Mus musculus: one gene and its partners. The protein of the gene in region 4 binds, or shares a complex with, the protein of the main gene of each other region. Links are inferred from orthologs where the notes say so. Each region holds a gene or a part of one and is shown on either strand. Other genes may lie near its edges.

Region 1 (3,581 bases), on a different chromosome or scaffold from region 4:
AACTTTGAATAATAAGGATCTTTAACATTTTTCTCGGTATTCTAAATTTTATTTAATGAATACGCAATCCTTTTTTCATGTGACTGGATCTCACTGTGTAGCCTTGGCTGGCCTGGAGCTTGCTGTGTAGACCAAGTTGGCCTTGAGTTCACAGGGATATGCTGAGGTTAAGGGTGTGTGCTGCCATACTCAACCTTATAATTGTATAGTACTTTTATTCCAGTTGTTTGTATATCTTGTAGGGGAGGTACAGGTGTCACAGTGCACATGTTATATGGCATATGTGGCCCACATAGGACAACTTACCAAGGCCAGTTCTTTCCCTCCATCAGGAGGGTCCCAGGGGTTGAACTCAGGCATCAGGCTTGGTAGCAAGCACTTGTACCCACTGTGCCATCTTACCAACCCACATACTGCTTTTAATAAAAGATTGATTATATGTGCCTGTACGTGCAGGTGCCCATGGAGACCAGAAGAGGGTGTTGGCTCTCTCAGAGTGGAGTCACCTGAAGCAGGTGCTGAGAACTGGTCATTGGCCTTCTGCTAGAGCAGCAAATGCTCTTAACTGCTGAACCATCTCTCTAGCCACCCCCCTCCTCAACATACACTTTTAAGTCAGAAAATATCTTTAAAATAATTTTAAGAAAATGATTAAATAATTAATATTGCAAAGATTACTATCTTACTCTGTCTTTTTAAAATTTCAGTCTTGGCCTGACTATGAAGACATCTATAAAAACATGATTGAACTTGCCATATTTTTAGATTTGCCTCGTTTCCCAGACATAACGGAAGACTGCTACCTCCATCCCAACACCTTGTGTATGAAATACTTACTGGAGGTCAATCTCCCTGGTGAGCTGTGGGGTGCGTGGGGAGGAGGCTTGGCTGCAAAGTTATGCTAGCAGACCAGTGGGGCCTTTCTTTCAGCTGCAGACTGCCTAAGCCACCTGAAGGAGTTCATAGTAACAGGAACTTAGATCAAATGCTTTCTTAAAGTAATTCACACCATATAACACAGTTAAAAGGACACTGCTCAAAAACAAATTTCTATCTTTGTGTGATTTATGCTTGGGAGAACTTCCGTGGCTTCTGTGGCAACTTGACTAAGTGCAGGCAGACTGTCTCAGTATGGGCTTTTGATGACATGCATGGGAAAGCTGCTCTGTCCACCTGAGAACATTAGTACTGCATAATGGCTTCTAATTAAGAACAAAATTATCAGCCAAAGTTGATGTCAACCTTTGAGAGTGGAGGAGGAAGACCCAGAGTTCAAGACCAGACTAAGGTAGCAAGGAGACCTGATTCAGAACAACTACAGCAGTCCTGGAGGCTCCTCACATGGTACTTGAAGCCTGGTAACATTCCAGTTTCCCAAGCCACGGAGAACAGTGTAGATAACACAGTGAGCTTTTTAGGGCAGTGAGGACTGTGATGAGAGCCTTAGCCACTTCATGCAGAGCACACGTGTCAGGTAATCCTGGTACAGCCTGTGACACGAGCCAGTCCTGAATTTCATACTGAACTAGAAATACAAGAAGCCTAGGACTTTTATTGTCTGCCTGATAGTTTGGTTTGGTTTGTATTTTCTTTGTGGAGGGAGAATGTTGACTCAGGGTATGTCTGTGTAGCCTGCAAGCTCACTATATAGACCAGGCTGGCCTTGAACTCGTGGAGATCCTTGCCTCTGCCTCTGCCTCTGCCTCTGCCTCTGCCTCTGCCTCTGCCTCTGCCGAGTGCTGAGACTATAGGTGTCAGTCCCCATGCTCAGTCTTAGAGTGACTATTGCTGAGTTATCACAATGCATGTCATTTCCCCTTGCCTGACTCTGATGTAGATGGCCTCTGTTGAGTTTCTAGTATAGTATAGTTCCTAGGTGAGGAAAAGCAGTATAAACCAAGATAGTGACAATCCTTGCTTGTTGGGATTCACATTACAAACCAGCCATTCACTTAGGAGTTCTGGTGGAGCTTCCTTAGCATGGAGGCAGGTCTGACTGGGAAAGCCTGCTGGTGTTACACAGGTCTCCTTAGAAACTATTGGTACAGCTATGACCTGTGACCTAAGAACCAACCAAGAGAAGCTTGTGATGCGAAATGGGGAAAGAACTGTTGAGGTGAAGGGACCAAAGAGCTGTGTAAATAGAGGCAAGGAACACTGCAGGCTTTGGGAACATTTGAAACCTGTTGGAGATGGGAGCTAAAAGTTTTAATGGGTTCATGCCATCAGGAGCCTGAGGTGACTGATTACACCTTATGACCAGAGGGAGGGAGACAAGGATACTCGGGAGTGGAGAGGCCAGATTGGACGGGTGTCAGTCAACGCTGGCCTGAGTGCTTTAGGCAGGTTCGTTCATGTAATGTTCATAACCATCAAGAAGTCACTGTGCTAGCTCATACTTTAGTGTAACACCTCTGAGGTCACATGGAGCTGGTCCAAGTGACAGGACTCCACAATCTGCTTTTTCCTGCACAGTGCGCTCCCTGGAAGGAAAGAGATCTGTGGATGAGACCCGTGTGGTGTCTGTCCGTTCTGTTAGAGGAGGCTGTGCTGCACCTCTTCTATGTAGGCCACTGAGGAATTTGTTTAATAACTTAGAGTTTTCAAAGTATACTTCTGTATAACCTTATTTTATCTCACTCTGTTCTCTCATAACAAGAAAGGACAATATTGCTAGGTAAAGGAGCTCATGCCTATAATTATACCAAACCTCAAGAGGCTGAGGCAGGAGGATCATGAGTTTGAGGCAAGCCTAAGCTAGACAGAAAAAAATCCTGTCCTTAAAGGAAGAAAGGTGAAGAGGCTGAAGCTGTGTGGCTAATCATGTGGCTGCTGCTGAGAAGCCTGAATACAGGGCCTAGGGTTTCAGGTCCCCAAGCTCACGTTACTCAGCCTCTGAGCTGCAGGCGCAGCCTATGCTGAATGCAGAACTTCTTTGGGAAAGCAAAGCATCTAACCAAGAGCTCTCAGCCATCAGAGTTCTCCAAGTTCCTGGAGAAGGTTGACCTTGTAAGGAGGTGAGTGTGCCTTGTAGAGACACAGATGAGGAACATGTATGGGGCAGCACAAAGCTGGTGTGTGCCTGTCTGCATGAGACCCAACTGTGTATCGCACATACATGTTTTAGGGTGTCAAGTAGGCCTTGCCAAGATTTTGCCCATTGCTATTTCCACACTGGCCTCATTTTTTAAAGTATTGTTTTATTCAAAAATGCTCCCAAAGTTCATGCATGACATCATGTTTTAAATAAAAGGTTCCTGGGTAATGTGTTGCAACCCTGTAATCTCAGCCTCCACACCAGAGGCTGCGGCATGAGAGTCATGAGTTCAAGGCCAATATGGGCTATATCGAGACCCTGTCTTACAAACAAAGCAGATGTGTAAAGATAGCTTGTAAATATGTATATTACTGTGGCCTCGTTTGTGTTTAACTGTTTTGTTTTTCAACAGATGAAATGCACACTTTAACCTGTCAAGTAGTAAAGTTGACTGGAATTGGGGAAGTGGATTTTCTGACGTTTGATCCTATAGCTAAAACGAAAAGGACAGTTAAATATGATGTGCAGGCTATGGCTGTCATTG
Region 2 (4,256 bases), on a different chromosome or scaffold from region 4:
AAATAATTTCCTGAGGTAAAAAGTTTCAGTGTTTTCCAGTGTATAGACTCAGACTTGTAACTTAATGGCAATAAATGACTTAAGTATTTCTATAAAATACACATGCATACATACATATATGTATACATACATATATACGTTATTATATATACATACGCACACAGAGACAGAGAAATTATCCTCCCCAGCTGGCTCTAGCTGAGGATATAGTTCAGCTGATAGAGCACTTGCCTTGTTTCATGGGGCCCTGGGTTAAATCCTCAGCACACACAAATTTTAATTACAAGCATAACTCACACTTGAAGCTCACATTATATACTGTGTACCAGTGCTCTAGAAGTTAGAAAGCATATTTAGGCTCATTGAAGAAGGAAGGGGGAGAAGGGGGAGGGGATGGGAAAGGGAAGAAAAGGGAAGGAAAGGGGAGGAGTGGAACTGCTATAAATTAAATGGTGTGTTTTAAAAACCAGTGCCCTCTTATTAATTAAGAAAGCTGGATTAAGGTATTAAAAACATCTATAGAAGCTGGGCATAGTGGTTGCACACCTTTAATCTCAGCAATTAACCTGGAGCAGAAGCAAGCAGATTTCTGTGAGTTCAAGGCAAGGGTCTACATACAGAGTTCTAGGACAGCCAGGACTACATAGAAAGACACTGGAGGGGTAAAAGTGTACAGAAAATTCCTGATTTAGGAGGTAAAACTAAATGATCATTCCCGCTCCTCCCCCCCACCCCACCCCCAGTTATAAAACTGTAGTTTTATAAGCATTTTTAAGCAATCTCAACACAACCAGAACACAAGAACCACCAGTTGAATCACCATGAATCTTACAAAAAGTCTTTTCTCTTCCTAGCACTCTGCAGCACGGTTCAGAAAAGCTCACTCTTGCCCCTGTGAATGAATTTCACACTAGTGTTCAGTCAGGGGGGAAAGACCACTCTACAGAGGCTACTTCCAATGATAACCCTTTCATACACTGAAAATATTTTAAGTTGAAAAAAAATGCATTCAATCCATCTTTTGTACTGAACATAAATGCCTAGCAACCTGGTACACAACAGCATATCAACTGTGCCTTTGTGATATCGACTGGGAGCTCACGGCAGCTGCCTAGCATCATTAAAGTACTAAGTCACTAGCCTAGCAAAACAGCGTTAACCTCAAGTTCAGTTTTTACTAAGTATTGCTTCCACGTACATCTTCAGGAAAGCCGGAGCATCCTAACTGGTTCCACACACACTGAGTTCCTTGATTAAATAACAGGGAGATGGAGACTGGAGATATAGCTTGCTGGAGGCAAGTGGCAGTGTGACAGGTTCAATCTTGATCCAAAGGGATTTAAAAAAAAAAAAAAGCACTCATATGGAAAACTCACTGTGAACTTTATGTAAGAAGAGTCGAAGAGTCCCTGGTCTAAGAGTAAAACATCTGCTCCTCCCAGTTTCAATTCCTAACATTTGAGCAAATAATCTACAGAACTGCTCTAAATGTAGTTTCCTCCTAGGTCTGGGGAATGGGGCACTATCAGTGTTGTACATACTTGGCTCAACTCTAAAAGTGAGGAAGTATTTATGAAAGATTTTTTTTCAAGAGTAATTGTTATTTTGGTTGTATTAGGTAAGAAATTAACATTAACTTAATATGCAAGTGAGAGAGGTATGAGTAGGGAAAGCATGAAAATAAGAAAAAATTCACAACGTGAGAAGACTGAGGAAACAGGCAGTTTGCAACTCCTAAAACAGGAACATTTTACTTCATAAGGTCAGATGACTAATCTGGACGTCAAATAAAGACTTTAGGACAGATCAAACCTGTACAACTTAGAAAAACCTAACTACATAATGCCCACAAGTCTGAAAGACTAAGCATTAGTGCTATGGCTAATTTTAACACATAAAACCTGAATAGAAGTGGCACAACTAAGTAAGAAGTCATGTGTCCCAGCCCTGGAACCCTAGCAAAGCTTTCTGAAATAAGAGAGACCTCTCTATATGATGATACCAACAAAGGCACCCAGAGCAAGCGGTTTACTCTCCGGAGTTCCAACTAACTTTTCCTCCTTTTGCAACCAACATCTGTACTGCAGTGCACATCTTAGGGCTAACCTGGGTGGTAAAGAAACTATATCCACGTCTACTTTACATTAATCTGGTCAATCAAAAGCCCCGAACAGGATGTTACGACCGAGAGCTGGTACGTTTCACGGTGGATAGCTACCGGAAAACTAACATTTCAAATCTTCAGGCTCCACTGTCCAGTTCTTTCCTACCCCAGAATCTGCAATCTTCCAGCAGCCTGTCTGTCTACTCTGTCTCTCGCTTCACGGCTCGCCCCCGAGTACCGGAGCACATCAGGAAAACGGAGCGCAGAGTTCGATCGGGAAAATACCTCTCGACTCCTCCGAAAACTCACAACCTCAAAAAGTTTAAAGCAGCATTAGAAAAGCCAGTCGGGAGGGGACGCCATGGTGGTCCCCCCAACTCCACACAGGGATGAGCTCGGCTGCTGTGGTTGTGGCCAAGAAGCGGTCGGCACCATCCGCTCGCCCACCCGGAATCCTTCCCGCTTTCCAACCCGAAAGTTTGCTGTATGGACGTCCGGCCTAAAAGACAATGCTGGCTGGGGCGAGCCCCTCCTCTCGGGGGCTCGGCTTTGGAGAACGGCTCGGCGGCGTGGCGTCCACGCGCGCGTCCCCTCGGAAGACGCGTCCCGCTTCGGGGCAGCCGAGTCCCACGCGGGACTCGTCCCCCTTCGCCCGCCGCCGCAGTCCCTACCTCAGCGCCCGCAGCCCGCGCCGCCTCCCAGCCTCCGCCTCGGCCGCACGCACGCACGCACTCACGCACGCACACACCCGCCCACCGCGGGCCCGCTTCCCGCCCCCCGCCGCCGTCGCGGCGCGCACGCCCAACACGGACCTGCCAAGGGGGTCGAACCCGAGGCGGCCGTGGTGGTGGCGTTGGCGACACAGCCCCGGCCCCGCCCTCCACTTCCTGGTGCGGCGGCTAGGACGCTCGCTCCCAGCAACCACCGCGACGCCGCTCCGAAAAGGCGCCTGCGTCACGGCGTGCTCCGCCCCGAGTTTCCATGACGACCGGAGCGCGCTCAAAGGCTGCCGGTAGCCACGTTTACTCTACCAGCTCTGCTCTAGGGAAGAACGGAAAGCCGCTTTTCTTGGCACAAAGTCGGAGCAGCTCCTTCAGCCGGCTCTGGAGTCTAACCCAACCGGCAACATTACCAATAAATCTGTCATATTTTTTGGAGGGTGGGTGGTTTTGGTTATTTGAGACAAGGTCTTCCTGTGTTGCCCTGATTGGCCTGGAACTTGAATTAAAGTTGCAGAGATCGTTCTGCCTCGGCCTACCAAGTGCTGCTCCATGCCAAGCTTTTTTATTTTATTTCAAATACCACTCACCAGAACCACCTTTAACAAGTGGCGGGGGGCTTGGGGGTGGGAGGGACAGTCTAGCAAAGGCAAACTCAACATAGAATTCAACTTCTGGACTTCAACCTCAAAACTTACAGCTCAGCTTCTGCGCTTCGAACACCGGCTCTTTTCATACCTGTGACCTGTCTTTGATTTTTTGGGGGACAATATAAGATGTGGGTGCGATATTTGGCAACAACAACAAATAATAATAATTGGCCCATCCTGCACCCTACAACTATCCTTGTTTGTACAGCCTAATCCAGTATTTAAATATCCCATAGCTGTAGTTTATTAGTACTAATTACTTTGGGTCTTAGTTTTGTATGTCCCGCCCCCCCCCCAACATAGGATACTAGTGATGATGCAGAAACTAACTTTGTATAACTAAATTTTTGTCAGGTCCAAAGGAGAGTCCAATTCTTCAAACTTCAAATGACAGTCCGAAGATCCACTAGTTAACTTAATCTGGACTATACGAGGAGTTCTAACAACTGACAAAAGACGGCGGCATTCCTCCGGAACTTGTGAAGCTCTAGTTTCTGTCTAGGAAAATGACTCATTTCCCTTTCCTCCAGCAAAAGTGACTTATGGCTCTCCAATTAACATGTCAGCACAAGGTGCAAGCCCGGCAGCCTCCAGACTCCCTCAGTCCCTACAAGCACTTATACATTTCAAAGCCTGCTCACCAGTCCCCTGGCCCTTCCCACCCGCCCACCGATTACTCATTCTTCTTGTTCACTCTTCTCCGCTCCTGCTGCTGCTTTTCTCAATAAGCTTCCCCTATTTTCTATCAGTGGCCATTTTCCCGTTTCTTGTAGACAGTCCTGG
Region 3 (4,296 bases), on a different chromosome or scaffold from region 4:
CTTTCAGCTATCCTGTTATGAGAAGCAAAGAAGAGACTTTAATAAAACACGAAGCATATGTGTTGTGGAGAATAAGTATTCACTGACTGTCAGTTGTCAGCATTAGTTCTCGTAGTAATCTTGGAATAACAATGTGATCACAATGAATTCAGACTGAGACATAGGTGTTGGGGCTGCAAAGGGGAGACAAGGAAGTCTAGCAAGATTATGGGGGGGGTACAGTACTTTGATTACAGTTAAAGTTTTTTTAAAAAAGGAGTAAAAAAGGCTGATTGTATGTTCATGATATTAACTTAGTAGACTACCAAAGTGTGTCAGGTGATAGGCCTGAGGCTGGAAAAGAGGAAGGTTGAGGAGACAATTCTGTCAGACTCCTTGTAGACTTTCTATCCCCTCCACCCACTCATCCCCTCAATCACTCTTCAAAGTACTCTCCCTTGTCTACAGATATGAAAACCGAATCTAAGGCTAGTGATACAACTCAGAAATAAAGCTAGGTGAGACTGTGGACAATGTATCTCAAAATACCATATGGACTTTTTAATGGTTTTGCTATTTAAGTCTGATAAGGGCTGGAAAGATGGTTCAGCTTTAAAGCACTGACTGTTCTTCCAGAGGACCTGGGTTCAATTCCCAGTACCCACATGGCAGCTCATAACCAGCCATACCTGTAATACCAGAGGATCCAATGCCCTCTTCTGGTTTCTGGGTCTTACAACATTCCCCTGACTCAATGTAGACCAGGCTAACTTCTCAAGTACTAAGATTAAAGGTGTGCACACCACAGTCCTGTCTATTTGGTAGCTCTCCTTTATCTAAGATATATATCTGTGTATTTATCTAACATAAATACTCAAGCACAGGTGCTCTAACACACACCTAGGTGGGAGAATTACCATGAGTTTATGGCCAGCCTGGGCTACACAGAGACTTCCAGGCCAGCCTGAACTAAGAAAGGTAGAGAGAGAGAGGGAGAGATGAAGAGAGAGGGAGAGAAGGGAAGGGAAAGGAAAGGAGAGAATAGGTTTTCGTTTTTCCTGTTACTTATAACCCTTTGCTGTATTCTCTGTTTTAGTCAGACTTAGTCACTGTGACCAAATATCTGACAGAAACAATTTAAGATTTATTTTGCACTGGGTATCTCAGTTTCTATCTGTCATGGTGGGAAAAACAAGGAAAAGTGCTGCAGCTCACTCCACAGTGGCCATGATATAGAGGAGATACAGAGAGGGCCAGGGCAGCCCTAAGAACATACAGCCAGAATCTACTTCTTCCAACTAGGCCCCGCCCCACTACCTTTCACTACCTCCCAGAGAAGTCACATTATAAATCCACCAACAGAGTAACTAATCCCTTAATTAGATCATAGCCCTGTGACCTACTTTGCCTCCAGAAACAGCACCAGAAACACCCAGAGGTGTGTTTCATTAATCGCCCGCCGATGAAACTGACAGGACTAACTCCTACCCACTTTAGTTTGTGTCTCTTTGACATACAGCCTTTTCTTTTTCTTTTTGGTTTTTCGAGACAGGGTTTCTCTGTATAGCTCTGGCTGTCCTGGAACTCACTCACCTGCCTCTCCCTCCCGAGTGCTGGAATTAAAGGCGTGTGCCTTTTCAATTTCTTATATTCATCACATATTGGAAAAGTAATATGTGCCAAACACTAATCAAAGTGCAAAGAAAGTGACTTGGGGGTAGGGGCATCAACAATAGATACAGACAGGTACAAAGGAGCACTAGAAACTGTTCAGGGGTTTGAAGAACTTAACATAGTCTGCTGTGCTGGCAAACGACGAGAGCTGTTTCAGAGAAAAGGACAGGAAGAAACACTTTGTCTTGATGAGAACTCAGCCATGGACTTAAAACACTCATTACAAAGATAAACCATTTAAAAAACAAGTTTGGGAAACTTTCATGATCCCATTTAAATATGGTTTTTCAGAATGAGATTCCCCACAGAGCCTCCCACCCCATATAAAAAAAAGTGACCCGAATAGATGGCGACCACTGGGGCAAACGAGGTCTGCCGCATGACCACTTAAAACATTTACTGCTGGTTGGTTTCATGAATCCTAAACTCGCTCTTTAAAAACACGAAGTCAACAACTTCTCTTTGAATTCAGAACTTCTAGGTCTTTCGAAGGCTCCAATTGAATTACCAACCCAGGCAACACTAGCCGTGTAAAGCGACAGGAGTCTACATGGCGAGTTCCAGGCTAGCCAAGTCTACACAGAGAGATTGTTTCAAAACAACAGAGTACACAGGGACCAGCTCCACTTTGTGGTCCAGAAAACTGTACGGAATATCTATTCAAGTAATTTATACACGTTCATAACTAAAGTTAACCTTACCAAAAAGAAAACCGCAAGGACTTTTCCGACCTGGGGTAAATGTACTGCCCACTCGGGGACCACCGGGTCAGGACTCCAGGAAGGCCAGGTCTTGGCGGTAAAGAGAGTTAGTTCCATGGTGGGCGGATGAAATTGAGAGACGGCCTGAAAGACGCCCTGTGTCCCCTAAAGTAACTTCTCCAACCTGCAAACGGACGCAACAGCGACCCGCTTCTCAGAACAGCGGTGGCCCGAGCAAGACGGACCCAGAACTTTCGGAAGCGCCCCGCGGGGCTCGCGTCTCACTCACCTTGACCAGCCACACGCCGGTGTTCTGTTTGGCGCCCGTCAGATCGAGTTCCCCGCGCTCCGCCATGAGCTTGTCGCGTGAGGAGGCGTGCAGTGCGCGCACAAGCAGTGGTCCCGGCGCTGAAAGGCAGAGAGCGACAGTCCAGAGCCGGCCAAGGGAGTAAGTAGACCGCGAAAAGCCGGCGTCGCACACAGCCCGGGAACCAGGAACTTAGATGAGAAGAACACGCCGCCGAATGAAGAACTGCGCCTGCGCACGACTACGTCAGGACAGCGCGCCGAGAGGGACAAACTTCCTGCTCCGGCAATTTCCTAGATGGGCGTGACTCCCGGCAACGTGCAATCTTGGGATTCGAGTGCTGGGAAAGGAAGAGCCTAATCCTGAACCGTGCGTTTACAGCAAAGGTGACAAAGTGGAAAGATTAAGGTTTAGACAGACAAAAGCTGTGTGTATTTATACCCAACCCTAGATAAAGAAGCTAGGCATTTTAAGGACAGACTTGGGGGTAAAAAAAGTCACTTTCTTGGCCCAATTAACATTGGCACAAGTGGGCACTAGAGTACAAGTGAGTATGCTGGACACATGCCTTTTCGAGGCATAAAAATCAATTCACACCGTGCAAGCAGCATACACTCTTTCAGACGCCGAAACCTGAATGCCATCTAATTGAGTTGGTAAGACCCACCATGTAAGAAACAGATCTGATTATCCAACTGCCCTGCTTAAACAGTTTCCGGTTGCAGGATATTGGATCACATTATGAGCCCTGAGATTGTGAACTGGAAGAATCTGTTAATAACTGTGGCTCAGCCTTTGATCCTAGAACTTTCTGTTTACTGTAAACAAGTATAGGTAGCCTGGCTCACCCCTACCTAGCGCGCACATTAATCCAAGAGCTAAATAAAGTCAACCCTAGATCAGGCGGCAGAGCAAGTAGCCAGCTGACAAGAGAGTGAACATGAGCAAGAGAAAGGAGAGAGTTTGAGGTGAAGGGTATTTAAGAGTGCATGAAGGAGAAGGGGCTTTTCCTTCTGAGAAGTCGGTGGAGTGGGAAGGTCAGCTGAGTACTTTTTCTGCCTCTCAGAGTTAGCAGGCTTTCACCGCAGCTTCTAGCTCCTGAGTCTTCATTTGGTAATTTCCTCCCCCACTTGCCTTTGGAATGAAATTCTACCCTGTGCTTCAACTGAGTCCTTTGGGTTTGATCCTTCCTATACTCTCTGTTCCACACAGGATTCCACACCAAGCCCATCCACCTGCTTGAAGACTCCAGGACCTTCCTCTTACCATTTCAGAGCCTCTTTCAAACCAATTCCTGTGCCTTAGATGCCCTGCTTTCCCTGATCTTTACACTGGCCCTGTCCTTTGGCAAACTTCTACTTATAAACACAGACAAGTGGAAATGAAATAAAGACCACACAGAAAAGAGAGTCCCCCTAGATAAAGTTCTGTTTCCCCATATGATAGTGTGTGATGCTTAACGCTGTACCATGAGAGGCGTGTTTATCTTTGTTTTCTACACTACTGACTGAACTCCTAGACAAAAGTACTGTTTTTGCCCCAGATTTGCTGAAGCAGAATGGACAAATACAAAATAGTGTTTTATTCATTTTATATGCACAGCACCCAGCACAGTGTTTGACATACTGTGGGATG
Region 4 (4,265 bases):
AGCCTTTGGCCTCCACCCCATCCCCTAGGGCAGACCCTACAGACCATCTCCTATCCCACTCCCCTGCCACCCTCACCTCTGGCCACCAGCAGTCTTCAGTCCAGATCTTGAGCCTGATCCCAGGCCACAGTGACTCACAGGCCCCCACTGCCCCCTCTGGCCAGGGCAGGATGTTGGGGGGAGGGGACAGGACCGGGAAGTCGCCTAGCTCGTGGCTCTGCACGTGGCTCCATGGGGGATGGCAAAAGCTGCCAGGGAGGCTGTCCAGGGTGACATCGGGGGCACAACCACCAAGCTGGCCAGTGGCTCCGACCAGCCACACTCAAGACCCAGGAGACCCCTCCCGACCTCCCCTCCATCGTTTGTTTCCCAGAGGCACCTGGAAAATGTCTAGGACCCCCCAGAGCCTTCACTGTAACCAGATCTCAAACTTCCCAAGCTCTATCGAACTTCTCCAGCTTCTCACTGCAAGCTGCCTCGTTTTCCTAAGGGTAGCTCCCAACACACAAGAAGGCGGCCAAGGTGATACACTCCCCAGAAACCAGCTCCTTGCCCATTCCCTTAAGTCCTTAAGTCACGTCCAGGTGAGGCAGACCTGTGGCCACTAGCAGTCTCGCACGCAATCTCCGCGTCTGAGCCAAATATCCCGGGAAAAAGAGGTTAGAAGGTCTGTTCATAGGGTGCCTCCTCCATGACGCCTTCCCGGACCACCGCCCTGCTCCTCTCCCCAGGAAAAGACCCTTCTCAGAGGAGAGGACTGTACTGAGCGCGGGAGGCCGCCGTCGGGGCTCGGGACACCGTACCGCCGACGGTTCTGCAGCGGCCGAAGAGAAGGACGCCCCAAACTCCAAGGCCCGGACTCTGCCTGGGCACCTCGGGTAAGGGCTCCAGACCGAGACCCCTTGGAGTCCGGGCCAGGAGGCGGGAAGACCGCCTTGGCCGTGGACAGTCGGCAGCCCGCTCTCCGGCTGCGCCACCACCACTTGTTAACCACCTCTTGGCTCCAGTCGGCTTGCGATCCGGCCAGCGGGACCCCAGCCCGCTAGAACCGCCGTACCTGTGCGCGCCGCCGCACGGCGGAGCAGCTGTCAGTCAAGGCAACACGAGAAACGCGAACCGCCGGCCGCGGACCTTTCGGCCTTGCTCGGACGCCGTAGCGCCGGGATCTACCACCACAGCGGGAGGGGGGGGACCGGGATGCTGCCGCGGGCTCGGAGGCTCTCGGAGCCCCGGGTGGGCACGAGCAAGGAACACCGCCGCTTCAGGGTAATCATGGGAGCCGGGGCAGGGCTGCGGCGGGATTCAGGGAGATGCGGGGCGGGGCTCTGGATCTTACGGGGCGGAGCTAGGGCGTAATGAGCCCCGCGCTATGGGCGCGCCTGGGGCGGGCCTTGAAAAGCTACTGCCGGCAGCCTGCACGCCAGACGCCGCCATGATCATCCCGGTGCGCTGCTTCACCTGCGGGAAGATCGTCGGCAACAAATGGGAAGCCTACCTGGGTCTGCTGCAGGCCGAGTACACGGAGGGGTGAGACGGCGGGCCGCGGGGGATGGGACAGGACGGGAAGGCTGGACTGGGGGCATGAAGTCGAGGGGCAATGGGGAGGGTTCTGCGGCGGACCGGGAGTGAAATTGAGGTGTCCTGGGCCGGGGGTAGATAAGATTTCCTATGGAGAATTGGCAGGGCAGGGGTTGTGGGGTCTAGTGAGAAGACTGGATGTCCTCCAGCCCAGACCTGTGATGTATTCCCAGAAGAGTGAGTCTTTAGTTTGTTTTCGAGGCAGGATTTCGGTGGCTGACCTGAATTCTCTATGTAAAGCAGTCTGGTCTGAAACACTTCGAAATCCTGCCTGTCTCCTGGATGTTGGGATTAAAGGCGTGCAATATCACGCCCAGGCTCTCAGAAGTTTGGAAGGTGGTTTTCTTCAAGTTGCTGGCCTTTGGGAAACTTCTAAGCATCCTTCCCGTGGGTGACACCTCAAGTCTCTTCCCTGTCGACCTACTCTCTATCCTCTATCTGCTTTCCGACCTACCCCTTATGTACTTCGAACCTCGTGGGCCCTTTAAAATGCAGGACAGGCTTTGTGGGCATCGTCTTGTGCTCACTACTATGACTGTCCCCCAAAATAGACCTCTGGCCACCATGTCAACACCAAGGGGTTCTCTTTCTCTGCACAAGCCATAAGTCAGTGGGGCTTAATGAGCAGCTATTAGATCAGCTCTGATGAGTAGCTGCTAGCCTTCTGGGACCCTCTTTCACTTGGGCAGGAACCTCTCAAGCTGTCTAGGTCCCAGAGAAATTAAATCTAGTGTGAGTTCAAAGCCTGTGGGGTAGCAACAACCAGTTCATGGCGTTTAGTCAGAGTCCACCTGTGGGGCCTGGAATTGTACTCCTTGATGAGGGGATATTGGTCTCCTAAGCTTTCCCAAATAACCCTGGAAGCCCATAACCCTGGGTACAAGAGACAAACGCAGAGATACAGGGGGTTAGAGAGATGGCCCAACTGTTTTTTTTGTTGTTGTTTTGTTTTTCAAGACAGGGTTTCTCTGTGTAGCCCTGGCTGTCCTGAAACTCACTTTGTAGCTCAGGCCGGCCTCGAACTCAGAAATTCACCTGCCTCTGCCTCTACCTCCCAAGTGCTTGGGATTAAAGGTGTGCACCACCACACCCAGCTAGATGGCTCAACTGTTAAGAGCACTGGCTGTTTTGTGTGTTTGGTTGTTTGATTGTTTTTTAAGAGGACTCAGGTTCCGTTCCTTGAAGCAACATGGTATCTCGCAAGTGTCCGTAACTCCTTTGGGCTTTGGGAGCATCAGGCACCCATACACATAAAACGAAATTTTAAAAAACAGGTGTAGGCAGAAGGCTGTTAAGGATGGATACAGGATGCTATGGGAGAAGACTGGCACATGAGCAGGTGTAACTTCTAGGTGGGGAAAGGGTCACCTGGCTCCTCCCTGAGCATCTAGATACATATTTCAGAAATCTCCAGGCCATTTCCCTATGGCCTGGTGTCAGGTTTCAATCGCTGATTATGTAGATGTGCTCTGGTAACCCCTATCCACACGAATACCCAGAGGCAAGCTGGAGGTGGTTCCAAACCTATCCAGACTCTAGAGACCACATCCAGCCTCACTCTTCTCTTTACAGGGATGCCCTGGACGCTCTGGGCCTAAAGCGCTACTGCTGCCGCCGCATGCTGCTAGCACACGTGGACCTGATTGAGAAGCTGCTGAACTATGCACCCCTAGAGAAGTGACCGCTGGAGCCTGCCCTCCTCTGTCTCCTGCTGGCCACGGGCAGCCTGTCGTGCTATGTTCAAACTGAGCTATTGGGGATGTTGGTGTATTGCCTGGCTGTGGCCCTGTGGCTAAGTCCTGTTACCCTGGAAGGAACTGTTTAGTAAAGATGTTTGCAGAACCACCAACAGGTCTAACTTCCAAGGTGCTCCATGTCCATGTCTGTGCTGTCTCTGAGGCTACCTGGCCTGCCTCCAGTCTTTCCCCTAGGGCTGGTCTCCTTCCCCTTCATCTGACTGGGAGTCTCGTCCTGTGGAGGAGTACCCTGCTTCCGTTCCCCGGGGCCTTGACCACTTTGATCAACGAGGTAGCCCTACAGTAGTCTTGTACCACATTGCTTTAGGGCCTCTCCGCTTCCTGCCTGTGTTCAGGATGGGCATAATGGATGTGGGCACCACACCATCCACAGGTATGGATGGGCCCAAGCCTGGTGACAATATTCCTTTGGAATGCTGAGCGTGCTTGGAGGTCCCAATCCTTGTGCTAGGGTTATTATGCATTTGGGTATTTGGTCTGCTTATAAGTCTTTGTATCACTGTGTCCCCACAGAGGCCAGATCCCCTGAGAGTAAAGTTATAGAATGTATAAGCTGCCATCAGGTATTGGGAATCAAACCCAGATTTATTTACCTTTCATTTTCCAAGACAGGGTTTCTCTGTTTGGCCTTGACTATCCTGGAATTCAACTCTGCAGACCAGGCTGGCCTTGAACTAAAGAGATCAGTCTCTGCCTCCCGAGTGTTGAGTTTAAAGGACGGCTTGTGCCACCCAACCAAACCCAGATACTGTAGGAGTACGCCCAAGGCCACAGGCCTCACGAATTTCTTGGGTCCTAAAGCCCATCAGCTGTGTGAGCCTATCTGCTGCCCATGCCTGAGGATCTTGTTTCCAGAATCTTCCCAGGCCCGACAGCTAGGCAGCCCTGCCCCTTGACCCAATCCCCACAGCATGTAGTCCTAAGAAGCCT
Region 5 (4,135 bases), on a different chromosome or scaffold from region 4:
GTCTGGTCCCAGCTGACTTGTGTCATCAGACCAGGCCTTGCCCCTGTGGCCAGGATACACAGGAGTAAGGAACCCTGTCTGCTTCCTGCATCCCTAGGTCTTTACCCTCATCCCAAGGGCTACAAGAAAAGGACATTTTCTGCACCCTACATCCACACCTGGTCCAATGTATTCTTGAAGGAGCATTCCAAGGGGTGGGGGTGGGGATGGGGAGAGGCTCTGGGGAGGCCTCTCAGGAGATTCTCCCCCACCAGTGTAATAAGCAGTTCCCCTTGCCTAGCTCAGGAAGGGAGGGAAATGACGTACCCACCCAGAAGGGCAATTCGGAGGTTCTGGCGGAAGACGGGGTTCAAGATGAGGCCTTGGAGTCCACCAGGGAGCAGCTGGGTATGCCAGATACGGAGGCCACTCAGCAGCCCCGTACTTTCCTCCTGAGCCCTGGACAGAAGCAGAGTTGAGTGGGGTATCACCAATAGCAAGGAGACCTCCAGGGAGCTTCATCTATCTCCTCTGAACGGGAGGCCCTTGGAACAGTGTCGCAGGGCGAAGCTGTGTTTCTCACCTCAGATACCTGCACTGCAATGCTAAGGAGAACCTAGTTCGTTTTGATTGTTGTTGGTTTCTCTGTTTTGTTTTCTAAGTCAATTCTTTTTTTTTTTTTTTTCCTTTTCATTTGTTTTGTTTCAGGAAGGGTCCTATGAAGCCTGGGACAGCCTCAAACTTACAATACATCAAACTTACGATATAATCCTTGAATCTCTGGTTCCCTATCTCTACCTATCAACTTGGGGTTGGGGGAGTGCGGGGGCGGCTTTTTCCCCTTTGTCTTTTTGTTTGTTTGTTTGTTTTGTTCTAGTTAGCATACAGCTAAAGAGACACAACTCTCCACAGTGGAAACCTCTGCAGGTGTATTCTGGAGGGTTTTCCTTGTGTAGGGCAGGCTCTGTTGAAAGGCCCACATCTGATTCCCCTAGCTCCTCTGTGTGTGCACCCTGCAAGTGTTCCAAACAAAAGTCCTTTGAGAAATGTGGCTGTTGGGAAGCTCGAAGCAGCTGCGCCCGCCCGGGACTCACTTGCTGAACTCCTTCTTCACCCACAGGGCCACCGCAGCCTGTGGTAGCGGCTGCTCCAGAAAGAGCATCCTCATGACCCAGTTCTTAGCCAAAGAGGGGAGCTCCCTGTAAGGTTCAGAGGCCAAATGTTATCAGAAGCCACCTCACACCTGCATCTCTGCCCTCATCTGCCTGTGGTTTAAAAAAAACAAACATCCCAACTGCTCAGAGAGGCAGAGAAAGCACCCAGCTGACCTTTTTTTCTCCAATGACATCCCAGAAAGAAAAAGCTCCCTCTCCGAGAATTCTCCACACTGTCTTAAATTCCCTTCAACTCAACGTTGCTAATTTCTGTTTACTTGGTTGCTCCATCTCTTGACCTACGGTTGACATTAGCCCTTGGCTAAAAAAAAGGTGTGTGCTTAGGGCTGAGCCACAATAACAAGGTTTTTCTGGTTCATAATCTTGGAGTTCACTATGTGATCAAATACCCTGCAACCTCTGTCTCTCAAACGTCTCATGCCATCTCCCACGTCCTTAGCAGTCCCACTGTCCCCACAACCTCTTTCTGGTTTGGACTGACACACTTTGGAGTAATGTCTAACACCCTGGTACTCACGCTGGGCTAATAAGCCTCTCCCCGTGCTAACTAATTTCAGTCTGCAGGCCCCATTACATTCTCCAAACATCCCCTTTGCTCTGAAGGCTCCTCACCTGAAGACAGCCAGACAAGTGGCAGGGTGCCCATACAATCGGTCCAGCACCCCAGGGCTCAGGCCTCCTAAGAACTCCTGGAGATTCCTGCATTGTAGGTGTGCTCGGTTCAGTCCACCCCTCGCCGGGGTGATCTCCATCACCTGAGAGGGACAAATGTCAGAACTCCCACATGACCCAGGCCTATATCACTGACTCCAGATCTATTAGGTTCACTTTCTGTACTTTCCTGTCTGATGCCACTTATCACCTATTCCTCCCAAACCCCTCGTGTCCTGCTTCTTTTCTTCATTATGCAGCTCACAATGGCCTTGAATTTGCTATGGAGCCAAGGATGGATTTGAACCCCTGATCCATCTGCCTTTACTTCCCAAGTGGCCACCAGGCTTTTCATCCCATATCTGCCCTTGAAGTTCAGCCTTTGTTCAGTCTCCAGGAGGTGGAATTAGTCTCATTTTTGTGTATGGTCCTGAGGATCAAATCCAGATCCTCACCGGTGTGGACTGAATTACTTATCGTTTCATACTTGCGAGTGTTTTGCATATCAATGACATCTCAAGTTCACCTAAGCATTGACAAAGATACTTATTTGAGCCCAGGCTTCTCTCTCTTGTCCACCCTCCTGGTCAGATCAGTCCAAATGGGTCAAATCCTTAGCTCTCATCTGGGGACACGGCTATAAACTGCCTCATGCTTACCAACCTAAATCCCTTTCTATCCCTTTCCCTCCAGCCAGCCTTACCCCTCTCACTGAGACCCACGCCTCTGAGCTCCTCACATCTCCCCGACTTTCCTTTCACTCCGCTTCTCGCTCAACTCTCTCCCTTACCCTTCTCAAACCCCCTCACCACTCGGCTCCCCCTCGCGCACCCCGGGTCACCAGCCGTCGCCTAATCAGTGCTAATGTCTCGCATTGGCTCCTGGAAATAAAGGATGAGAATTCTAAAAGGTGGGAGAACCACGAAGAACTTCACAGACAGGACCCAGTCAATAAGCAGTCCAAAGAGAAGGGAGAGCAGAGAAATGTGTCAAGAGTAAAGGGGGTTAGAATAGGCAATGCACTCGCCTGTCGCAAGGCATCTTGGGAATTGTAGTCCTCTTCTAGCCTACATTGGAGACTATGAGTCAGGCTCTGACTACAAATCCCTAAAGGCACCGCAAGAAGGCCGGCCGAGAAAAGGTGGCTTTTCATTGGGATTCCCTAGAAACATCCGAAGTCAGACCTTTTGATTCCGCGCCTCTCTCCCCTATACAGCAAGGTGAATCTCTTGTCAGATCAGGAGGAGGCAGCAAACCTGGAGGAGCTCCGGGGCCTCCTATCGGAGACGTACTAAAGCAGCTTAGTGGTGTTATGTTAGATGTAGAGACCTCAAACTGGGTTTCTTTCTTTCTTTCTTTCTTTCTTTCTTTCTTTCTTCCTTCTTCTTATTTTTTTTTTAGGTTTTTCGAGACAGGGTTTCTCTGTATAGCTCTGGCTGTCCTGGAACTCACTTTGTAGACCAGGCTAGCCTCGAACTCAGAACTCCGCCTGCCTCTGCCTCCCGAGTGCTGGGATTAAAGGCGTGCGCCACCACACCCGGCGACAAACTGGGTTTCTTGACCTCTGTTGTTCCTCACGAAACTGAGATAATGATCAGTGCAGAACATCTTCACATGACGTGGATCAACACAATTGCCCTCATTTGGAGCTCAATCAATCAAAATGTCTATGTGAAGTCAGATTCCCTGGAACTGGAATTACATACAGCAGTGAGCTGTTATGTTAGTGCTAGGAATTGAACTTGGGCCCTTTGGAAGGACAGCCATCTCTCCACCATCCTCCCACCTGCTCACTCAATCTTAATCTCTTCCAACTCCCTGGGGAGTTAGAAGATTACATTGCAATTTTTAAGAGAAAGCTATCATTTGCCCTGATTTGATTTATGAATTTATCCTAGGCAAGACAAGGGAAAGGGAAAATGACATCAACTAAGGTCATCTGTAGGGTCTCCAATTCTTATGGGGGCAAATTCTGTTATTCTTACATCACAGGCTATCAAGCTCAACAAGAATAAGAGATCTGAGCCGGGTGTGGTGGCGCACGCCTTTAATCCCAGCACTTGGGAGGCAGAGGCAGGCAGATTTCTGACTTCCAGGCCAGCCTGGTCTACAAAGTGAGTTCCAGGACAGCCAGGACTATACGGAGAAACCCTGTCTCGAAAAAAACCAAAAACAAACAAACAAACAAACAAACAAACAAAAACAGAATAAGAGATCTGCACAAGAAAGTCCCAGTACCGAGATGAGAAACACATTTACCAAGGGCAAAAATGGTAAGGCCATGTAAGGACTTGATTATGCTTTACTATGTATTTTAAGGAAAATCACTG
Region 6 (2,774 bases), on a different chromosome or scaffold from region 4:
GGTTTAGGACCTTGTTCCTCCTGCATGGGAACAAGTGACTATGTACTTTGTGTAGCAGAGGATGGTGGGGAGTAGGGGACTGCAAAGAGCTCCTTGGGCAAAGAGGATGGTAGAAGATAATGACCGATACACTCAAATGGGCATCCCTTCTTTACAGGACAAATGGGCATGACAGGATAACCTCATTAAGGCACAAACACTGTAAAGGAGGCTAAGGCAGGGTAGTTAGCCTGAGCCACACCACATGCAACAGAAAGAGAAAGAGGCAGGGCATACAGCCTGGGCCATTTCAAACCCCCAAATCTTGAAACAATATAGGGTGAGCCCTGAGATGGACTCAGGCCCATGTGCACCTAAGCCCCCTGGAGACCCCAAATCTTAGCTCCTCCAAACTCAGGGTCTGTTCCAGGCATATCCAGCCATTATATTGGTTAGCTAAATAACATTTTATGGCTTTGGAGGTGGTGGGTTGTTCGGTTGTTTTTGGTTTTTGGTTTTGTTTTCTTGGTGAAACAGGATCTCTCTCTATTGTCCTAGCTGTCTTGGAACTCACTATGAAAACCAGGCTGGCCTTGAACTCACAGAGATTCTCATGCCACTGCATCCTAGAGTGCTGGGGTAAAGGTGTGCACCACCAGGCTTGGCCCAGTTAAAATTCCTTTTAAAACAGGATCTCATTGTGTGATCTTAGCTGGTCTGTAACTTGGAATATAAACCACCCCTCAAACTCAGAGATCCTGTTGCCTGTGCACCAAAGTGCTGAGATTAAGGGTGTGTACTACTGTGTCTGTCAAGTTTTGGGGTGTTTTGAAACCAAATCTCATATAACCACAGCTGGCTTCAAACTTAATACAGAAGATGGACCTGAATGCCTGGTCCTTGTTGCTTCTGCCATCTGTGTGGTAATGTGTGCATACACTACCCCCACCCACACCCCCCACTGTTAATTTATCTCAAGGATTACTTAGAGAAGGGGCAGGGTCTCACTGGACAAGGAGCCGTCCATGAACCACACCTATGCATGCCCGGAAGAAGACTACGCATAGTGGGAGGAGGAGCTGCTTTTGACATTGCAGTCCCGGCCCCTTGAGAACTGGTCCAGACTTGTAGGCAAGCACAGAGCAACCCCACAAACCACATGCATTCCTGAAGCCCTTTCTGGGCCCACAGGTCCCATCCTCAGCAGGTGTACAAGGTATCTCATGCTATACATCCCCAGTTTCTCAATCCCAGCCTCCCTGCACCCGCCTTTGTCTCTACCTCCCAGGCTAGAACTGAGGAAGTTGCCATTAGGAGGCCCCTCCCTGGACCCCCAGGCTGTGCATATCTGTGGTACCAGCCTTCACTCAGCTCCCAGGCAAGACTCAAGCAAGAGAGGTCTGCCCAAGCAAGTACTAAGCAGTACTCCAGGCAGCCTTGCTCTGAGGGCGTACACAGCTGTAACAACCACCTTTGGCTCACCTCTCCCATTCCTCCTCGGCTTCCTCAGCAGTGAGTGTGCGGTGTCGGGCCAGTGGTGTGAAATTGTACCAGTTCTGTACAGGGAAAGCCTCAAAGGCACCATCAGCACACTGTGTGAAGATGTAGTAGGCTGTGTTCTCTGTTACCCCGCCTTTCTTAATGCCTTTGAACCTGTGGAGAGCCTAGGTTAGGTCACGGTCCCACCCACCCCACCTGCACTCCTTCCACCCTCTCTACAGTTCCCATTTGGGCTCTTCTAGGAATGATTAGGACAGAAGGGCATGTGCTACCATCTCCCTAGCACAAACATCACCCTGCCACCTTGTGGCCACCATCTGCTACCAGATTCTGGGCCATGTTGCACTGTGTATCCTGCTCCCAGCCTATAATCCCCCATGGCTACTGAGGGCCTTACACTGTGTAGGCTCCAGCTATTGGTTCACTGAATAACTATGCATAGAGCACTCTCGTCACTGGCTCCATCAGACTCCACCTTCTTTGCAATGGAGTATCCTCGCCCATGGGGTCAGGGCCCTATCTCCAGGCCACACTCAGGCTGCTGAGCCAGACCAACAGTATCTAGTTGATTTACCTCCAAGATTAAACTTTATCAAGGAGGTGGTACTGGGACCACCATCCTGTTGGCTACAGACTCAAAGAAGATGCCTCCAAAGTATGCATGTGGGAGGGACACAGGCTGGCCCCTCCCACCATTAGCATCACTTACTTCCGTCCTGATTTGCCATTGACACGGAGTAGCCAAGGCTGGTCCTCAGGCCGAAACTCCTTTAGGACAATGCCATACTTCTTCCGGCGCGCCTCCTCCCTAAGCTTGCGGTTGAATTCACTGCCTGCACCGGACTCTGGCATCTCTTCTTCCTGGTAAATCTTCTTGTTGCTCAGATCTCGCTCCAGCCGTGCCTGAAGGAGAAGCAGGAATACTCTTCTGTCTCCCTGTGCCAGGCTTCATGTGCTCCCAGCAGACTCCCCATGTGGCATGAAGGCCAGGGATGTGAGCACCTGTTGCCTCTGCCCAGGGAGAGGGCTGTGGAACTGGTTCACTGGGTAAGGTAGCAGGCTTACAAGCACAAGGATCAGGAATTCAGATCCCCAGGACCCACAGACAAAGTTGGGCATGGCATCTGAGACCCCATGAGAGAGGTGCAGACAGGAGGGGCTCTGGAACTCACAGGTCAGCAAGCCCCAGGTTCAGTTAGATACCCTGACTCAAAACACAACGTAGAAAGGCTATGGGACGGTACTTGCTGTCAAGCCCGAGGCTTGAGGTCAAGCCCTGGGACCCACACTGCAAA
Region 7 (4,050 bases), on a different chromosome or scaffold from region 4:
TGGGCTGGGTTTGAGCGGGGGTTTTACCAGCCCTGGCTGTCCTGCAATTTGCTCTGCAGACCAGGCTGGCCTTGAACTCAGGACACATCTGCCTGCCTCTGCCAGTGCTTGGAGTAAAGCTGTCCACCACCGTGCCTGGCCATATCAACTCTAATACCAGGCTGACAAGAAGGCTCACAGAGTGAGGGTGCATGCTTGCTCCAACCTGAAGACCCAAGTTCAATCCCCAGGAAGAATGTAAAGGTGGAGAGAGCCTGAGTGCTGCTAGCGCTGTGTTCCGAGGGTGTACACAGTGAGACTAGAGGTGGGGTGGGGACAGCTGTTCTCCCAGGCGAAGGCAGATGTACAAGATGCCAACTAAAGCCCCAGCAGTAGGCCTGGGACCTGAGCCCATGCATTCCAGGTCAGTTCTGCCTAACTCATAATCCCAAGCTCTCAGCCTCACCTTGGTTCCGATATTCAAAGAGACGAGGATCAGCGAGGATGGGGATGAGCCCCAGGCGGTGAGCAAGGATCTCATCCTGGACTATGGACGTGTTGTTATACACCAAGACCTTCTCCACGGCCATTGTCGGCACCTGCCCAAGGAGGCAAAGCAGACAACTGACCTCCACCCATCCCCCTGCCTGGAAAAGGAAGAGGCAGCACTTTTTCATTTTGCCCTTCAGATTCTTTTTTTTTTTTTTGGTTTTTTGAGACAGGGTTTCTCTGTATAGCCCTGGCTGGCCTGGAACTCAGAGATCCACCTGCCTCTGCCTCCCGAGTGCTGGGGTGCTGGGACTAAAGGCGTGTGGCTCAGATTCTTGATACAATGTTTACTATGTAGCCCAGACTGTCATAGGTGTGAACCACCCTACCTGCCCCAGAGGGATGGCTTTGAGAAAAGCGTCTACAAATTGATACAATTTCTACCCTCCAGCCCACGTCCTCTAATACCTCAGCTAACAGGATTCTCCGGAAAGCATTGGCGATGGCAGCATCAATCCCCACCATGTCGAACTCCAGCGTGTCTTCATCCATTTGCACCACGTCCACACGGAAATTCTAGAAGGAGGGAAGCTCCTGCATGACTCCTGCCTGGCTCCTACCCTGCACTATCCCCTCACCCTAAAGTCATGGTGCTCAGTAGACATTTTGTCTCCAGTCCTGTTCTTGGGGGCAAGGCTGTGTGTTTCTTGTTTTTTAGGTTTTTCCAAGGCCAGGTTTCTCCATGTAGTCCTGGCTGTCCTGGAACTCTGTAGACCAGGCTGGCCTCAAACTCAAAAGATCCACCTACCTCTGCCTACCAAGTACTGGGATTAAAGGTGTGCGCCACTATGCCCAATCTTCCCAGATTTTCCACAAACCACCCAGAGAAGTTACTATACAAAAAGCAGAACTTCCCACACTACTTAGACCGTTTGATACTTGCATGTCTGTTGTCGTTATTTTTTAATACCTACTTTTCTCAACTACATTCCCTTGGATTTTGAACACCAATTTCCTTATCTGCTCTTCTTTCTAAATTTCCCCTTCCACCCACACAGTAAACGTTCCTGTCTCCTAGGTTCTAATCCCCTGGCTGACCTCCACCATGCTCCTGGCTCAAGCAAGCACATAGACTTCACAAGCAGGCACCTGAGTGTACCCTCATTCTTGTTCTCCTGCTTGGCAAACGACACAGCCAGCAACAGTTCCCCAGTGCCACTGGAGAAATGGCTCAGCTATTAAGAGCACTTAACTGCCCTTGCAGAAGAACTGGGTTTGGTTCCCAGCACCTGGTGGGACCTAACATTCTCCTCACACTGCAGGGATCACTAACACACAGTGGTGCACAAATACACATGCAGGCAAACACGCATATCAAGAAAGTTTTAGGGTCCTCAAGTTACAAAGTCCTTTCTCTCACACACTGCCTCCCCAGAGCACTGGTGCAAATCGTCTAGTTCTCCCTGCCTTACTCCGTTAGTACTGTCTGGAGTTCATCTATGCCCCCAATTTCAGCCTGCATACACTAGCTGGCAGATTCACCAGAATTCATTCCCTCCTGGCTATCAAGATTGCAAAATGTTATCAGTCTACTCAAAAATTCTAAATTGGGCGTGGTGGCTCATGCCTTTAATCCCAGTGCATGGGAGGCAGAGACAGAAGCAGGTAGATGGCTGAGTTCAAGTCCAGCCTGGACTATAGAGAGAGTGCCAGGGCTAAACAGAAACAGTTTCAAAGTGAATTTTAAAAAAATCATATATAATGAAGCTCCAATCAGGCCTTCACTACTCAACTTTTATTCATAGTTCAAAGCTTAATTCAAATGCCATTCCCTTCACTGACCTTTAACTACGTCCCTTCAGTTAGCTGGATTCAGTGCATCAATGATTCCTGACCATATCCCAGCCATCTTCACCGCTATCTTACTATTCTGGAATAACTTGTCTGTGTGGTCCATTATCCCACCGAGAGCAACCACCGTGTCTGACCCGTCCATGGAGCTCAAGCGTGTTGTATGGAAACAGCGACCCCCACCCCAACCTGCGAGGTCTGGCCCCTCGGGCCGACTGGGCACCTTCAGCTCTACCCACCTTCTCGAAGCGGTTCTGGTCCCAGGCATCATCATAACCGGCGTAGTTACCGGGAAAGTCCGTGGTGTGGACCTAGAGCCAACAGAAAGGGCAGTGTGGCCAGCCTTCACACCAGGCCTCTACTTCCCCGTGCCGCCCTCATCCTTCCCGCGCCCCGATCTCTTACATTGCGAACCCCAAACTCTCCGAGAACCACGCGAGTCCGCATCTCCTCCACCGCCTGAGCCGCCGCCATCTTCCGCCACTCGCTGTAAAAGGAGGCGAGTCCGCGCCTGCGTCTCCGCAGCAACGCTCGGGCTCCCGCAATCTTGAATGTCGCGAGATCTTGCCCCGCCTCTGTCCACGTCCTTCACTTCCGGACGTCAAGTGGGGCCAAACATCCGGGTTTCTCCCTTCGGCGTCCCGGCGGATCCCCACCTTGCCCGGGCGGTCGCCCCTCTGAACCTCTCCCTCCCTCGGACCCGGGTCGCACGCTCTTCCCACGCGCGCGTGCTCCAGCGACGGGAAGCCTCGAGGGACATGGCGACTCCGGCGGCGCCGGCCAGCGGCGTCCGAAATGGTGCTGGCCCGGAATGGGGAGGCTTCGAAGAAAACATCCAGGTATGGAGCGCGCCTGCTGCCAGCAGCCCCGGGCTGGCGGCGTCCGGACGGTGGCTGCTGTTCTCTCTCGCGGGGCCTAGAGGTCGGCTCCGCTGAAACGCAGCCTGTCCCCTTTGAGTCTTCCCGGGGAAGGGTGTAGCTCTTGTGCTGGCGTGAAAGGGACAAACTAGGGCTCCCGCGGGCCTCGGCTCTCTGTGGGGGCTGGAGGCTAGGATCCACTGGCACCCCCTAAAAATAGGCTTGTTTGAGAATTGGGAATGGCAGATGGGCTCTTTTGCAACTCTTTGGAGCTTTGAGGTGGAAAGTAGGAAAACAACGTGGATTGAAAATAAATAGTAGGGTTTCCAGGACCACAAAAGTGACGCGACCAAGAGTTGCCACCACTGAAAGAGTGGCAGTTCCAAGCCATGTCCTCGGCAGTGGAAGATCAAAGCCTCAAGTTGTCAGCTGAGCGGAGAACGGGGAGGATGCAATGGAAGGGCCCCTCACTCTCCGAGCCGTTGTCTTCACAGGGTGGGGGTTCGGCTGTGATTGATATGGAGAACATGGACGATACCTCAGGCTCCAGCTTCGAGGACATGGGTGAGCTGCACCAGCGCCTGCGGGAGGAAGAAGTAGATGCTGATGCAGCTGCTGCAGAAGAAGAGGATGGGGAGTTTCTTGGCATGAAAGGCTTTAAAGGACAACTGAGCCGGCAGGTAGCAGATCAGGTAAGCCAATGGGGAAAAAAAAAAGGACCTATGCATGTCCTAAATTGATCGAGGTTTTCCACTTAGACCCACACGTAAATCTCGCCGAGACTGAATAACAATCTAGAGCCAAGAGTCTCATCATACCCATTTCCCTTCAGATGTGGCAGGCAGGGAAGAGACAGGCTTCCAGGGCCTTCAGC

The links.
Region 1: Polr2l (region 4) and Taf1b share a complex: the UniProt entries of both Homo sapiens proteins name them as parts of the pol I pre-initiation complex. The link is inferred for Mus musculus from reciprocal best matches to the Homo sapiens genes POLR2L and TAF1B.
Region 2: Polr2l (region 4) and Gtf2e2 share a complex: the UniProt entries of both Homo sapiens proteins name them as parts of the TBP-based Pol II pre-initiation complex. The link is inferred for Mus musculus from reciprocal best matches to the Homo sapiens genes POLR2L and GTF2E2.
Region 3: Polr2l (region 4) and Gtf2f2 share a complex: the UniProt entries of both Homo sapiens proteins name them as parts of the TBP-based Pol II pre-initiation complex. The link is inferred for Mus musculus from reciprocal best matches to the Homo sapiens genes POLR2L and GTF2F2.
Region 5: Polr2l (region 4) and Gtf2h4 share a complex: the UniProt entries of both Homo sapiens proteins name them as parts of the TBP-based Pol II pre-initiation complex. The link is inferred for Mus musculus from reciprocal best matches to the Homo sapiens genes POLR2L and GTF2H4.
Region 6: Polr2l (region 4) and Gtf2f1 share a complex: the UniProt entries of both Homo sapiens proteins name them as parts of the TBP-based Pol II pre-initiation complex. The link is inferred for Mus musculus from reciprocal best matches to the Homo sapiens genes POLR2L and GTF2F1.
Region 7: Polr2l (region 4) and Polr1c share a complex: the UniProt entries of both Homo sapiens proteins name them as parts of the pol I pre-initiation complex. The link is inferred for Mus musculus from reciprocal best matches to the Homo sapiens genes POLR2L and POLR1C.

The regions. Positions count from the first base shown.
Region 1 is NC_000078.6:24,543,564-24,547,144, forward strand, and holds part of Taf1b (TATA box-binding protein-associated factor RNA polymerase I subunit B), read left to right. Parts: intron 1-707; coding exon 708-855; intron 856-3,449; coding exon 3,450-3,581. UniProt on the Homo sapiens protein: Component of RNA polymerase I core factor complex that acts as a GTF2B/TFIIB-like factor and plays a key role in multiple steps during transcription initiation such as pre-initiation complex (PIC) assembly and postpolymerase recruitment events in polymerase I (Pol I) transcription.
Region 2 is NC_000074.6:33,730,649-33,734,904, reverse strand, and holds the start of Gtf2e2 (general transcription factor IIE subunit 2), read right to left. Parts: upstream 2,839-4,256; 5' UTR 2,776-2,838; exon of another isoform or gene 2,231-2,775; intron 1,324-2,230; exon of another isoform or gene 1,199-1,323; intron 1,180-1,198; exon of another isoform or gene 833-1,179; intron 719-832; exon of another isoform or gene 1-718. UniProt on the Homo sapiens protein: Recruits TFIIH to the initiation complex and stimulates the RNA polymerase II C-terminal domain kinase and DNA-dependent ATPase activities of TFIIH. Both TFIIH and TFIIE are required for promoter clearance by RNA polymerase.
Region 3 is NC_000080.6:76,008,037-76,012,332, forward strand, and holds the start of Gtf2f2 (general transcription factor IIF subunit 2), read right to left. Parts: upstream 2,830-4,296; 5' UTR 2,710-2,829; coding exon 2,644-2,709; intron 1-2,643. UniProt on the Homo sapiens protein: TFIIF is a general transcription initiation factor that binds to RNA polymerase II and helps to recruit it to the initiation complex in collaboration with TFIIB.
Region 4 is NC_000073.6:141,472,290-141,476,554, reverse strand, and holds the start of Polr2l (DNA-directed RNA polymerases I, II, and III subunit RPABC5), read left to right. Parts: upstream 1-1,401; 5' UTR 1,402-1,432; coding exon 1,433-1,527; intron 1,528-3,150; coding exon 3,151-3,259; 3' UTR 3,260-4,265. UniProt on the Homo sapiens protein: DNA-dependent RNA polymerase catalyzes the transcription of DNA into RNA using the four ribonucleoside triphosphates as substrates.
Region 5 is NC_000083.6:35,670,920-35,675,054, forward strand, and holds the start of Gtf2h4 (general transcription factor IIH subunit 4), read right to left. Parts: upstream 2,825-4,135; 5' UTR 2,637-2,824; exon of another isoform or gene 2,596-2,636; intron 1,910-2,595; 5' UTR 1,907-1,909; coding exon 1,767-1,906; intron 1,179-1,766; coding exon 1,074-1,178; intron 439-1,073; coding exon 307-438; intron 44-306; coding exon 1-43. UniProt on the Homo sapiens protein: Component of the general transcription and DNA repair factor IIH (TFIIH) core complex, which is involved in general and transcription-coupled nucleotide excision repair (NER) of damaged DNA and, when complexed to CAK, in RNA transcription by RNA polymerase II.
Region 6 is NC_000083.6:57,005,525-57,008,298, forward strand, and holds part of Gtf2f1 (general transcription factor IIF subunit 1), read right to left. Parts: intron 2,383-2,774; coding exon 2,189-2,382; intron 1,633-2,188; coding exon 1,462-1,632; intron 21-1,461; coding exon 1-20. UniProt on the Homo sapiens protein: TFIIF is a general transcription initiation factor that binds to RNA polymerase II and helps to recruit it to the initiation complex in collaboration with TFIIB. It promotes transcription elongation.
Region 7 is NC_000083.6:46,245,171-46,249,220, forward strand, and holds the start of Polr1c (DNA-directed RNA polymerases I and III subunit RPAC1), read right to left. Parts: upstream 2,876-4,050; 5' UTR 2,794-2,875; coding exon 2,725-2,793; intron 2,631-2,724; coding exon 2,559-2,630; intron 1,045-2,558; coding exon 937-1,044; intron 579-936; coding exon 446-578; intron 1-445. Other genes in the region: protein YIPF3, read left to right, coding at 3,078-3,158, 3,671-3,868, 4,009-4,050. UniProt on the Homo sapiens protein: DNA-dependent RNA polymerase catalyzes the transcription of DNA into RNA using the four ribonucleoside triphosphates as substrates.